Linked DNA regions of Saccharomyces cerevisiae S288C. Changing the gene in region 1 together with any one later gene gives a genetic interaction. Each region holds a gene or a part of one and is shown in the gene's direction. Other genes may lie near its edges.

Region 1 (8,487 bases):
TTGTGTAGAAACGCATGCGGTATCTCGAACAACCGCAGAATCTTGCCCAGACTGCTGCCCTTTTCGCCATACGATTTCCTGTAAAACTGCTCAGTGTCCAAGATGAACACGTCTAGATCACCGGGAGTTTCAGCCAAAAGCAGCGTATGGTCCAGATGGCCTTCATACCCTCTGCCAGGGAATTTGACACCAATAGTCTCCAGCCACTTAAGATCCCCGCTCACGTGATGACCAACAAATGCCCTTGACCATGTCTTGTCTTCTTCGGTCACCGGGACCAAGTAATAGTTTATTAGTGATTGAATGAAATGCACGCACTCTTTCAAGCTCAAAACATAGCTTTCTCCCAATAAGTAGCAATCCTTGTAGTCACAGACCCATTTTTGGTTTCTAAGTTCCAGGGACTCCTCGATAATTAGGTGGTAATTCTTTGTAATTGGAACCATTGACGGCACCATATTTTCCCTGGGGTCATAAATTGAAATCCCAATTTCGGTGATTACGTTCTGGTTTGTTTCGAAAGCCTCTATATCAAGACAAAAGCATATTGCTCTCTGAGAGGCCATCAGCCTGATGCATTTCTCCAGATAAGCAAATTCATTCGAGCGTGAATGTGCTTCCACCATGGGCCAGAACGTCTTCCTCACGCTGTTTTTCTCGTCAGCCAGTAGTTTCTGTTCTGTCTCTAGGAGCTTGATGGTACCATTCATTCCTAACATTTTCTTCTGAATGGCTTCGAACCAAGCGGTGTCGCTCATTCCTTTGGGCTGCGGACAGATACAGTTGGCTCGGTCCTCTTTGGTCAATGGAGACAGCCGCTGTGATCTTTTGGACCTGGGTGGTACGATCGTGTCGCTTAATCTTTTCAAAAACCGGCGTTCTTCCACGAGTTTTTCCAGTTTTGCATGCACATCACCATGTACCATATGCCATTCACTGTCCACCTGCGCCAGTTTGGCTTCCAATTGCGCCCTGGATTGTCCATAGGAGGCATCAAACTTCTGCCTCATCTCCGCCACATATGCATCGATCATGGGCTTCCTTAGTTGGTCCAATTCCTTAGAAAACGCGGTCTTTCTCAACTGTACATAGTAATCTATCTGGTCCAGCCAATTGCACTTAGCACGGTCCCAGGGCGTATTCAATTGGGTCCTGGCATCCAGAAACGCCTCCACACAGCCCGCGATCTTGCCGCTTCCTGTTCGGTCCTTCACTAATCCTCTGACAGAGAGCGTCCCATTACTTAGTTTTGTTGCCAAAGCACCGGTATTACCGCTTCTGGAACGATAACGGGGGCCTGCGCCGTTATTATTCCTCCTCTCCCAATGGACGCTTTTATCGCTACCGTTATTACTGTTATCTCTCACCATTTTTTGAACCTGCATGTGGATCTGGACTCTCGAGCAAGACCCAAGTTCTCATTGCCTCCTTTCCTTCTTCCCTTCTTATATGTTGTCTTGTTGAACCTCAAAACACTAGCGGATAATACGGATTTTGAGGGATGCTCATCGCAAATTTTTCAGAAATGGTGCACGGATGTACCCACGCAATGAAAAATTTTTTTCACTTCTGGTAGGTCAAGAACAAAGAAAGAAAAGTACAAGTGTAAACATTTCTTAACATCTTTTTCGGTTTTATGAAGATCTTTTGGGATCCTAGATCGGTAATAGAACATCAGGATTACTCTGGACCTGCTAACGTGTTTCATCTTCTTTTCACTTCTCTGCCCACGATGTCTGCTGAAACCGCCGCCGCAAACACTGCTACTGCCCCAGTCCCAGAAGTGCAAGAACAAGAGAGCTCCAAGAGCAAGCAAGTCAACTTGACGCCGGCACCATTGCCCACATCTTCCCCATGGAAACTTGCTCCTACTGAGATCCCTGTTTCTACTATCTCAATAGAAGACTTGGATGCCACAAGAAAGAAGAAGAACAGAACACCCACTCCGAAATCATCGACTGCTACCAAGTGGGTTCCCATCAAGGCCTCCATTACCGTCTCTGGCACCAAAAGATCCGGTTCCAAGAATGGTGCAAGTAATGGCAACAGCAACAAGAGCAAAAACAACAAAACTGCAGCATCGTCGACATCGTCGAGTAATGCTAACAGGAAAAAGAAGCATCACCAACATAATGCTAAGAAGCAACAACAAATGAAGAAAGATGGCTTTGAATCGGCAGTAGGTGAGGAAGATTCAAAAGACGCTACCTCTCAAGAAAATGGTCAATCTACACAACAGCAACAACCACCTCACCACCGTAATCATCACCACAGTCATCACCATAACAGCAATGGTCCTCAAAGGAGAAAGTTCCACAACAGTAATAACGCCGGTATGCCTCAGAACCAAGGCTTCCCACCACAGTTTAAACCTTACCAAGGACGCAACGCTCGTAATAACAACAACAACCGCTCTAAATACCACAACCACTTCCATCACAACCAACAACATCCTCAACAACCTATGGTCAAATTACAGCAACAGTTTTATCCAGTCCAACCAGTGTTAATGGCCATCAACAACATTGCTAGACAAATTGAATACTATTTCAGCGAAGAAAACTTGACCGTCGACAATTACTTAAGGTCCAAACTCTCCAAGGATGGTTTTGCTCCATTGTCTTTAATCTCTAAGTTTTACAGAGTTGTTAACATGTCCTTCGGAGGTGACACTAACCTGATTTTAGCCGCATTGAGAGAAATTGTCGCTAACGAAGCCGCTACCGTCAATGTTGCAGAAGGTACTTTGGCCGCCAAGGAAGGTGATAACGTTACCGGTGAAGCCAAAGAACCATCTCCATTGGATAAGTACTTCGTTCGTTCCAAGAGCTGGTCAAACTGGTTACCAGAAACTTTTGAAACTGAAATTAATATTGAAAAAGAACTGGTCGGCGATGCATTGGACCAATTCATGATATCCCTACCACCTGTTCCTCAACAAGAAGAGGAATCATCCACTGAACTCGCTTCTCAAGAACAAGAAACCAAAGAAGACTCTGCGCCGGTTGCTGCCGGTGAATCCGAGTCTTCCTTATAAAGGCCTCTCACACTTGCAAAATAAAAAATGGATTCGTTCATTGCATTTTACACAAAAAACCATAAAAAATTGAAAAACCTAATAATTAAAAAAATTAAAAGTTAATCATCCTCCAGCAAAGCTGTTTTTTTTTTGTTTTTTTTTTTTTTTTTGTTTTTTTATCCATTTTTTTCATTTGTTCCATCAGTTTAATACGAAAGAGAAAATAAAAATAAAAACTTTGAACAATTTTCATGTTTTGAATTCATTGTACATTATCATCATAAGCAATAAGATACAAATATTTATGTTTTTTTTTTTTTGTTTTTTTTTTTTTTTAAGATATAAAAATACTAGCCTCTTCTCACTTCGTTTTCTCTCTGTCTAAGTGGCTACCATCATGAGATATGATATTCTTTCTTCTCCCTGCGCAATTCTTAAACCACCTGCTTTTTTTATTCAATTTTTTGCTAATTTAATAATTGGGAAGAAGATATGAAAAATGCCTATTTTACTCTAAGCAATTCATATGTAAAAAATTTTATGTATAGTTTTTTTTTTCTCTTTTGTGCTGTCAAATTCCTTTTTATTGTCATCTAAGACCATGCTTTAGCTTCTGTCATGTATAATGCAACGTGTCTTAGATTATTAATTGTTGTATTGTGCGGCATTGATAGCGCCGCTCAACAATTTTAGGAAATTGCTAAAATTAATTCCTTAAAACGGTATTTTCCTAAACGAAAATACCTCAGCTATTGAAAGATGCGTAGTGTAAACAAAAGGAAAGATTTCAAACTGTACCTATATTACCACGGTTTTTGCCCTTATAAGCAATAGTTTGCTCATAACATATTCTCTACATTAGATATGAGCTATGGAACTATAAATGATATGAATGAATCGGTAACGAACTATCGAATAAAAAAAGCCCAAAACAATATCAAGGGATGGTACGCTTACTCATTTTCTAGCGAACCATTTGTCGTTTCTGCGGTTTCAACGTATATTCCCTTACTACTGCAGCAATTTGCGAGTATAAATGGTGTAAAAGTTCACGATCACTCCATACCCTGCCTGTCAGAAACGGGTAGTGATTCAGATAAGTGTGTTCTTGGTTTGTTCAACAATCGGATCTTCGTAGATACTTCAAGTTTTGCATTATATGTCTTTTCCCTTAGCGTTTTATTCCAAACTATAATAGTCATTTCCGTTTCAGGGATAGTAGATCTCTGGGGGAGCGTTAAATTCAAAGGCAGAATTCTGGTTTGGTTTGGTATTGTGGGCGCATTGTCGACTGTTGCGATTTCAAAATTGAATGATACCCAGATTTATTCTCTGGCTGGGCTTTATATAGTGGCCAATGGTTGTTTTGGCGTTATCAATGTTGTTGGGAATTCTCTTCTGCCCATTTTTGTCAAGGATTCTTTGAAATGTCAAAGTCAAGGAGCTTATGAACCTGATAAGGTAGACTCGTTAACTACTGTTATTAGCGGTAGAGGTGCATCTTTAGGTTATTCAAGTGCCCTCATTGTTCAGATTGTATCTATGTTCTTAGTCGCATCTAAAAAGGGCAGTAAGCAGGATGTTCAAGTGGCTGTTCTTTTCGTTGGGATTTGGTGGTTTGTGTGGCAACTGCCCATGATCTGGTTGATTGACGATGTGACAATACCGATAAGAGTTGACGATTCTACATTAGCATCCGCCCGCAGTCCGTATCCCGGTGAGCAAGACGCCTTGGGTCAACTAAACTGGAAGAATTACCTTTCATATGGTTGGGTTTCGCTTTTCGAATCGTTTAAACATGCCAGACTATTGAAAGATGTGATGATTTTTCTTATTGCGTGGTTTATTATTAGTGATTCCATTACAACTATAAATTCTACAGCGGTTTTGTTCTCCAAGGCAGAACTGCACATGAGTACCCTCAATTTAATCATGATAAGTGTTTTGACCGTTGTAAATGCAATGCTGGGTGCCTTTATGATTCCACAATTTCTTGCCACAAAGTTTCGGTGGACTTCTAGTCAAACTTTGATGTACATTATCATTTGGGCAAGTTTCATACCATTTTATGGTATTCTTGGATTTTTCTTCAATGCGTTCGGTTTAAAGCATAAGTTTGAAATGTTCTTATTGGCCATTTGGTATGGATTATCACTAGGTGGCCTGTCCGCGGTTTCAAGATCAGTTTTCAGTTTGATTGTACCTCCAGGAAAAGAATCCACGTTTTTTAGTATGTTCAGTATCACAGATAAGGGGTCGTCCATCCTGGGACCCTTCCTTGTTGGACTGCTTACCGATAAAACGCATAATATTCGCTATTCGTTTTATTTCTTCTTTTTGCTTTTGATGCTATCATTGCCTGTGCTAAACTGTTTGGATGTCAAGAGAGGTAGAAGAGAGGCTGAAGAACTCAGTCAAGTTTTACCTGAAAGTGAAAGAAGGTTGGATTAGTTCTTTTTTTTTTTTTGTTACATAAAACTTTGCTTACGTATATATATAAGGTGGAGTATTAATTTCTTGAAATTTTCCAGATTTTTATCTTACCGTCATCACCGCCAGAAGCAAACATTTCTTTATCTGCAGGGTTTGATGCAACTACGTTACAATTTTTCCCCATGGGTTTTGTGGAATTACTCATTACCGTGGAATGACCGGATAAAACAGATACTAGGTTACCTCTAATTCTATCCCAAATGTAAATTTTACCATCTTCTGATCCGCTCATGACAAGCTTATTACCGTAGGCGAAGCAAGATCTGATAATAAAGTGCTGTTGCTTCTGTCCAAAGTACTTTTGTATGAGAATATTTTCTTTATAGTCCCACATTTGTAATTCGTTATCTTGAAGGCTAACTAATACCAAATGTTGAGACTCGGATATTTGTTGCCTATGGAAGCCTTGATGCGTGGTATTTAGCGGTAATGAGATACAAGTCATGTTTTTGCCCACGTCCAATCTTGCGATCCTTGGAATCAGAAAGTTTTTGGGATCCACTGTTTGCTTAGATAGCTCCTCTTTGGAGGGGAACCCACTGAAATCGTAGACATCTATAACGCCCTGGTGGGTCATTAAAAGCACGTATTTATCGTCATAGCTGATTTTCACGTCGTGCACACGTGGAAAGGTTTCGTCGTCCTCCACATATTGCCAGTTACCATTGCTACTTGTTGGTTTGTAAAGGACTTTTGCAGGATCGATTGATTTTCTCCCAGAGATGTTTTCATCGTGGCCCAACGCGATACAAGTCCTGCCTTTTAAGCTAAAAAGTGACTCTTTCGTGGTGAGTGAGTGTACAATAGCTTCTCTGTCGGGCGATCCAACCACCATCCAGCCCGCACGTTCCGCAGTGTGGAAGGCATCGCAGCACCATACTCTTGATTGATTAGAATTCGCGTTTGCCGGCCTCGAGGAAGATGATGCTGATGATTCGGTATCATCTGGGTACGTGGTGGTGTCCAGTTTAAACGAGTCCATGGGCGAGAGCCTGGTAGAAGGGTATAGTAGGAACGAGTCTGTGGCAGACGCATCGGGCAGGGAGGTGGCATTCATGTCGTAAATGGTAACATCTTCGCTGAAAGGGCAAGCAACCAGATACCGGCTATCAGGAGAAAACATGAGGTACAATACGGATTGTGACAAGCTCACGCAAGTCTTATAAATTTTGAAGTCTTGTTCCACATCATAAACAGTAATGAAGTAGCCTCTTGAAGACTCGGAAGTCGCAGAAGCCAAATACTTGCCATTGGGCGAAAATGTCAAAAACCAAATTTCGTCTGTGGTGTCTTGGATAGTCTTCCATTCTTGAAAGGTCACAGTCAGATCGTGTGAGAAGTTATCCTGCAAAAGGTTGATCCGGTGGGGTGGAGAGGAGAAAGAGGCGTCATCATCCGGATCGATGATATTAAAAATGTCTTGTGATTGTTGATACTTGATGGCCTGTTTCAAGAGATGCAAGAGACGACCCTTGGGAACGAGTTCGTTCGGATCGATATATTTGGAGATGGCGTCAATCAGATGGTCTCGCTCGAGGTTCAACTGCGCGGTTAGTTTTGGGTTGGTCAGGTACGTCGACAGTTCTCTCAAGGTCGTTTCCGGATTGAAGATGTTTTCTTCATTTAGGAACTGATCGTTAGACACCAGCAGGGAATCCCATATCTCGATGAAGTTTTTGAGGATTTTGCGCAAATACAGGACGGGCAGTGCAGTGTGAGGGCCCTTGTGAGAGGCGGAATTTGTGACTGGATGGAAGAATTCGAGGAATATTTGTCTATTAACTAGAATCATGATCTCTACGTAATTTCTGAGCGTGGCGATCTCTGCGTCCGAACAAGTAGATGAATTTACAGAGCTCATCAGCTGTTGCAGGTATTGCAGTTGCAGGAGCATGTGGTCGAAAAGTGAAGTCGTGGCGGGCGTCGGCGTGGGAATGAGCAGCCTTTGAAGCCATTCGGACCTTAGCGGAGAGCTATGGGCAAGGGGCAGCGAGCAAACAATCTGCCAATTAATAAGATGGAATTGGCCGGTCTTGATGAGTTTGAAGAAAGTCTGGATGTGGTTAGACTCATTTTGATATCCGCCGCTCTCTAGCAGTAACTGGTTAGCGGCGGAGTCGTAGCCCAGCTCCTTTAGAGTATGTATCAGTAATTTAGTGAGCTGTTTCTTGTCAAAACAACCAACGGAAGAGGGCGAGGCTGTTTCCTCCGTGTCATTGTTCAACACGTATGCGATCTTATTAGTGTGTGACATTTTATTAGTTGAAGTAGTACGCCCCCTTGGAAGTGTTTTTCATATTTGACTTCCAAAAATGATAAAGGAAGACCTAGCAAGGCATTTATTGTTCTTCATTTTCCCTTAAAAACCAAAGGCCCGTTTCCGATGATATTGTTCATTAATGTGAGAAAATCATACATACATACATACGTTCTTATACGGTATTGTATAAGAATGTATGTATATACACTGAAAATATACATATATATATATATATATAAAGGAGAGAAGATGGTAAGTACGGTGGGATACGTACACAAACCAAAAAAATGTAAAAAGATCATGCTACAAGCGCACACAAGGCGGCACCCACTCCGGAACCATCCTTGGCAATCTTCAAGTGCACCTTCCTCTCACCCTCGGCACCCAAGGGTGACAAGGCTAAGGCGTGTCTCAGCATAGATCTGAAACCGGGGTAGTATTCCACAACGGAACCATCACAACCGATCTCGACTTCACCATGATATCTCTTGTTCAAAGCATTTGTCTTGATCAATATCGCGGCAAGCGGCACGGCGGCTAAATACGCAGATCTCCTAGAAATCGCGCGCACCAATTTTTGAATTTGAACACGCTCTGTTGGAGTGGTGGGCAGTCTGAGACTCTGTAATAATGACAACTCTGTTTCACGTAGACCTGTCGAGTCGTCAATTTCAATATGCGACAGCACTTCGGATGACAACTGGAAAGGTGTAGT
Region 2 (6,880 bases), on another chromosome or scaffold:
GAAAGGATTCGTAATTTAGGATCTGTCGACTCCGAACATACTAGTTTGTGGAAAGTACTAATAGGAATGATGGAGACATTACATGACAATAGAGATAGTTTTTTCTTAACCGATTTTGAGCCGGTTTTGATTAGCGCGACAGAAGAATACTACAATAAAGCTATTGATATTGAATTATTAACGCCAATTGAGAGCCTGGAAAAGATTAGGAAGTTAAGGCAGTTTGAAAGTATGCTAGACTCCTCTTTTCTAAATGTGGATTCTCATAATAAGTTGAAGACTGTATTAGAAAATGTCCTTATATGGGGAAAGTTGAGTGATATTATTGAAGATCTAACGCACGAAGCAATGGTAATTTCAAATGGAAAGCTACTCCAAGAAATTTATGACTTGTCAAGCGAGGAAAAATATCGCGTTACTGTCATTGAATCTATTAAATCTTACATCAATAAAAATGCCATAAATATTCCTTTTAATGAAGGTAACCGCAAAAAAGGGCAGAATGCGATTACTTGGTCTTCGGAAATTGTAGAGCTATATCGCAGTCAACACTCGTTTTTGGAAAGTATTGATTTTGGTTCTGTTCGTCTTAATAATTTGACCGGGGATGTATCTAATGCAATACTTGGCGATGTTTTCTCAATGTATTTCTCTAAAGAAGGAGCATTACCATCTGAGTATCTTTCTACCTACGTGGACCATTGTATGAAACGAACCAAGGAAAAAGATGCTGAAATAGTGAAGATCAAGCAAGATTTGCTTGATAGTACCAAATTAATCGGACTCCTAACTGAGAAGGATATATTTGAAAAGATTTACAAAAAACAACTCTCCAGAAGATTACTGCAGCAGAGGTCTTTAGTGGAAATTGAAAAATGGATGGTGCAAATGATAAAGAAGGTTCTAGGAACTTTTTTTACCTCAAAATTGGAGATAATGCTGCGAGATATATCTTTATCCTCTGAAATGTATCAAGCATTCCAACACTCAACAATCAACAGCATAGAATATTTGAGTTTTGCACCACAAGTTTTGACGAGAACGAGCTGGCCCTTTCAGAGTACTAATCCAATTGATGAAGGTATTTCACTACCTCCTAGAATGTCACAAATTTTAGCTGGCTTTGAGGGCTATTACAGCTTAAAATACAAAGAAAGAGTGCTAAAGTGGGCTCATCATCTAAGTGTAATTGAAATTGGCTGCCAATTTAATAGCGGTTACTACGAAATAAGTTTTTCTGTTTACGCTGGAGTGATTTTCCTTCTATTTGAAGATTATGAAGAATTAACGTTGGGGGAAATATATGAACTAACTCATATTCCCATAGATGACGTTAAGTCTCTTGTAATGTCAATGTCGACAATACCCAGATGTAAGATTTTGAAAAAATCATCCAGTTCAGGAAATATGAAATTTTCAGTTAATTATTTCTTTTCTTCTCCAAACAGGAAAGTGAAAGTGCCGGTTATTGCATGCCCTCTACCATCTCAGAAATCAGATAATTTGGCAACCGCAAGTTCCGTGGACACTTATGATAATGAAATTGTTATGGAGCTTAGTGCTATTATTGTTCGTATCATGAAAACAGAAGGTAAGCTAAGCCATCAGCAATTACTTGAAAGAACTACGAAACGGACACAGTCTCGGCTCAGTCTTACACCGAGCATTTTGAAACGAAGCATTCAGCTTTTAATAGAGAAAGAATACATCCAGAGAAACGCAGATGACCCCTCTTATTACCATTACCTTTCCTAATTGCTTATAATGAAAATCACAGGTATAAGGTTTGCAGAATGCCAACAGTATATATAGATGGCAGTTCCTATCCGGCTGCCAGAGCGAACAATATTAAGAGGATATGCGTCGATACTAATTGAATGTTCATCCTGCATTCCTTAGTGAAACTTTCAAAATATATAATAACATAGTTATGGTAGACTATATATCCCAGTCAAACTTGAATGTAATGTGGAGTGGGTAATCGATATCTCTTGAAGTTTATTATGCCTCATTATATTTTTATAAAAAACTTCTAGGAATTTGTTGAGTCAAATAATTTCTTTCTTAATCATTAAGTAAGTTAAAGTTACGAGCCTTTCAGACCTGCGTAGCACTGCTTCAAAGGAACTATTATCAATAGCAGCGCCTTGCTCTTTTTTTTTTTTCAGATGCTTAGCGGCCGTATTTCACTTTTCCTGGTAGAAAAATATATGTTGAAATTTACGGTATAAGAGAAGCTCACCAAAATTATTATCAATAAAGCGGCACTTTTAAATTTGGTATTCTTCCCTGGTTGTCAAGCCTTGGTTTCCCTTTATTTGATAGTATGAGCGAAATAAATAATGAAAATCTAGAGCCAACCTCAAGTACAGTAGCTGAGTCTACAGAAAGCAAGAATAAACACATTCGTAGCGCTTTAAGAAAACGAAGAGGTAAATTAAGCGCCCAAACTTATGAGGAAGATCAAGAGGCTATTTTATCATCTCCTTTATTGACTTCAACACCTAAAACAGTCTCCAGGTCATTAGTGAGGTTATACCCATATTTAATTGTTGTGGATAACTTTCTAAGTATCATCACTTGGTCCAATGACAATGTCTCTGCAAACTTGCTTGGAATATTCTTATTTACGGTTTGTGTTCTATATTTTGGATTTATTACAAGGTATTTTGGACATTTAATGATCGTTGGTATAATATGGGTATATCTTTTAATTGACAAGCACGTTCAAGAAACAATGGCATCTTGCCCTTCATTGGATGATATAATACACGTTATGGATAGGGTTTCTATGAAATCTAGCGCTGTGTTATCTCCTATTACGATTTTGAGCGCTCAGGATGTTAGAAGACTGTTATTTACCATTGCCTTCCTATCCCCAGTTTATATTTTTCTAACAGTGTTTGTGCTATCTCCAAACTATTTAATGTTAATAGGGGGTCTGTATGTGCTTACGTACCATTCTAAACTAATCCGAAGAATGAGAAGATACTTGTGGAAATTTCGCGTTGTTAGATTACTTGTATTTTTCATAACAGGATTAGACCTTGGTGGACCAGATAATAATAGGCGCTTGTTTGCTTCTGTCAATAAGAAAATAAGGTCCTTTGTTTGGAATGAGGTAGGGAACACATCTAACACTAAAAAGACTGTACTTTTCAAGGTTGCTCTGTTTGAAAACCAGCGCCGCTGGCTTGGCATCGGATGGACATCAACTATGTTGAGTTATGAGCGCGCATCTTGGACAGATGAATTCCTAAATACTTCTCCAAGCCCAGAAGTGTTTACTTTACCAGAGGAGCAGTCGGGAATGGCTTGGGAATGGCACGATAAAGATTGGATGCTTGACCTAACAAATGATGGGATCATTCAACTTCCTGCTTCTGCTGCTAAGACAAAAGTTAAGCCAGGTGCAGATGAAGGTTTCATATATTATGATAACACCTGGAATAATCCCTCTGCAACGGACACATATAAAAAGTACACAAGAAGAAGGAGGTGGATCAGGACTGCAACAGTAACAACAACGTATGACGATGAGCCCACTGTAGAAAAAGCTACACCGAATTCTCATGCTCTGAAGAGTGAAGAAAATAATAGAGTTAGAAAAAGAAAAGTGTCATTTAGTACAGCAAATGAAGTGCATATCATACCTTCCTCGGACAGTAGCAAATTAATACAAATATCTGATGTTTCAATGTCTCCTTCTCTATAATGAGTGCATGCCCCATATGGACAACAACGTTCACACTGGTCGGTGCAAGGGCACACAGCAATCTCAGAGTTTCTTTCATTGGCTGCATGGAGCACAAATTCAATCTTGTGCTTTAAAGTATCTGCGCGGTTATGGCAAGTTCTCCATCAGTCTCTTATTCCAGCAAGCATTCTTTTACGGAACTTCAATGCATCTAAATACATATGTACAGATAGCCAAAACTAATAGAGACATAATAAATTAAACAAAACTGTAAATTTTAAAAAGAGTATATATAGGGCTCAAGAAACTGCGTAAATATAAAATTAATGAAGAAAATCTGATTGTCAACTAAACGACATCTTCCATTTCTATTTCATCTTCCAAGTCAGCCTCCGCGTCTCCTTGCGCATTGTCTCCAGCGGAACCTGTTTGCTCATCAGCTAGTTCACCTAAGGTTGCCTTTCTCTCCTCCTCTTTCAACTTTTTATACTCTGGCCTTAAAGTGTATTTGAATGCATATGGGCCCTTCTTCACTAGAGTGGCAACTTTATCCAAACACTCCTTTAAATGTGCTTCAGGTTGCCTAGTACGTTCCTTCAACCCCTTCAAGGACCAGTAGTCATACTCATCAAATAACTTGAACAAGTAATCCAAGATTTCCTTCTTTGGCATACGAATAGATTTAATATTGCTCTTGGCCTTCTCACGCCCCACTTTCAAGAAATTCGAGTTGTCTGACCTCATGGACATACCTGTGTGGCTCATCGTAACACCAACGGTTTCATCCAAAGTTGTGATCCTTTCCTTATTATTAAGCTTGACAATATTTCTTCTCTGTTCAACAATCTTGTGATAATTAGGATCATTCATTGATGGCATAACCTGACATTCGTGGCAAACTGTACCCACAATGGCGGTTTTTTTGGGAATCGTCTTCACATATGGTATATATCTATCTCTACCATCCCTATCTGTCATAACTCTGTGATTAAACTTTTTTCTATTATTTCTACGTTTTTGCTGCTGCTGCTTCTTCTTAAGTTCCTCTTCACGTTCTTGCTTCTTCAGGTAAGCTTGCCTTTGCTTTTCAGGATCTGCTTCCAACTCCTTTTTACGTTGTTGATATTTCTTTAAATTTTGTTCTGTGAAAACATATTCATTTTCTACTACTTTCTTTGTAAGTTCTAAATCATATTCGTGCGGTATAGAATCGTTATCATTTTCATTCAATAGAAGTGTGATTTTACTCCCATCCTTGTTTATCCTAATTTTACCCAGTTCTTGGCCATGCAAGTTGTTTCTGTCCCTCCATTTCTCTGCTAGAAACATGGGCAATCTAACTAACCAGACTTGTCTATTACTACGTTCCAAGTCCAAATCTAAGGATTCTTCATAAACTTTGGTTTCATTATTCTCAATATCATTACCGTCAAAAACTTCCTCCTCTTGCGAAAGATACTCATCACCGGAAATGTTACCTGATTTCTCCTTCGCGACAGAGTTCGTGGAATTATTAGAAAGTGCTGGTGCCCCTGCTGAACCACTGCTCATGGTGTTAAGTTGGTCTTCTATTTTACTCTTAATATTGCGTTATGCGTTGAAGCCAACAGCATATGTCTTATTCTTCTAATTTCAAGCCTGATAATTTATTCATTTCGCGCAAGGGAAGATGAAAAAGTTAAGAAGAGAATCGACCTTTGGAAAGGGCCCCAATGGAAAGAACTTCAATGTTTTTTCCTCTACAAGTAATAAGAGCATAAAATGGACCTAGATCTAGCCAGTATCTTAAAAGGTGAAATTTCTAAGAAGAAGAAAGAGCTGGCCAACTCTAAAGGTGTTCAGCCACCATGCACTGAGAAATTCCAGCCACATGAATCCGCAAACATAGACGAAACACCGCGACAGGTAGAACAAGAAAGTACAGATGAAGAAAACCTGTCAGACAATCAGAGTGACGATATTAGGACCACCATTAGCAAATTAGAAAATCGGCCAGAAAGGATACAAGAAGCGATAGCTCAAGACAAAACCATCTCTGTAATCATTGATCCATCACAAATTGGTTCTACTGAAGGAAAACCTCTTTTGTCAATGAAATGTAATTTATATATTCACGAAATATTATCTCGTTGGAAGGCGTCTTTGGAAGCTTATCATCCGGAGCTGTTCTTAGACACTAAAAAAGCACTCTTTCCACTCCTACTGCAACTACGAAGGAACCAGCTTGCCCCGGATTTACTTATTTCCCTTGCGACCGTTCTCTATCATTTACAACAACCTAAAGAAATAAATTTAGCCGTTCAGTCCTATATGAAACTCAGTATCGGCAATGTGGCCTGGCCTATTGGTGTTACTAGCGTAGGCATTCATGCTCGTAGTGCACATTCGAAAATTCAAGGAGGCCGGAATGCTGCTAACATAATGATTGATGAAAGAACGCGATTATGGATTACCAGTATTAAAAGATTAATAACTTTTGAAGAATGGTATACCAGCAACCACGATAGCTTAGCCTAATTGTTGAACTATTGTTTTCGTTATCGCGTGGCACGATATCATGCGGCCAAAATAAGAAGCAAGAATGCAGATGTTGATAGCCTTTGTTCAATTTTCCAGAGACAAATGCTTTACAGGATCGGGACTTGAAATATACTGACTGGATGACGGTAAACTTAGATCCGGATAAAGTTTGGATAGACGGCTGCTTTGATTTCACACATCATGGGCATGCGGGAGCCATTTTGCAGGCTCGTCGAACAGTTTCAAAAGAAAATGGTAAACTATTCTGTGGTGTGCATACCGATGAAGATATTCAGCATAACAAAGGAACACCAGTAATGAACTCTTCAGAAAGATATGAGCATACTAGATCAAATAGGTGGTGTTCGGAAGTGGTTGAAGCGGCGCCATATGTTACAGATCCCAATTGGATGGATAAATATCAGTGCCAATATGTTGTTCATGGTGATGATATCACCATAGATGCTAATGGAGAAGACTGCTATAAGTTGGTGAAAGAGATGGGGCGCTTCAAGGTAGTTAAAAGAACATATGGCGTAAGTACTACCGAGATTATACATAGAATATTGACGAAAAAATCTTTGCCACCGACTCATCCTGATTATTATCCCACCACCCAGGAATTGAGTTTCTATTCTGTCGCCCAAGATGCCGTTTCAAAAC

What was found. A genetic interaction does not mean that the proteins touch.
Region 2: mutations in ATG22 (region 1) and PEX31 together harm fitness more than expected from each alone (negative genetic interaction), as found in Saccharomyces cerevisiae (2 studies listed by BioGRID).

Annotation. Positions count from the first base shown.
Region 1 is NC_001135.5:51,924-60,410, reverse strand, and holds ATG22 (Atg22p), read left to right. Parts: upstream 1-3,883; coding exon 3,884-5,470; downstream 5,471-8,487. Other genes in the region: GFD2 (Gfd2p), read right to left, coding at 1-1,385; SRO9 (Sro9p), read left to right, coding at 1,733-3,037; glucose-induced degradation complex subunit GID7, read right to left, coding at 5,529-7,766; GLK1 (glucokinase), read right to left, coding at 8,071-8,487. UniProt on the Saccharomyces cerevisiae protein: Vacuolar effluxer which mediate the efflux of leucine and other amino acids resulting from autophagic degradation. The release of autophagic amino acids allows the maintenance of protein synthesis and viability during nitrogen starvation.
Region 2 is NC_001139.9:500,612-507,491, forward strand, and holds PEX31 (peroxisome biogenesis protein), read left to right. Parts: upstream 1-2,326; coding exon 2,327-3,715; downstream 3,716-6,880. Other genes in the region: cullin CUL3, read left to right, coding at 1-1,755; transcription factor IIF subunit TFG2, read right to left, coding at 4,046-5,248; mRNA splicing protein PRP18, read left to right, coding at 5,459-6,214; ECT1 (ethanolamine-phosphate cytidylyltransferase), read left to right, coding at 6,358-6,880.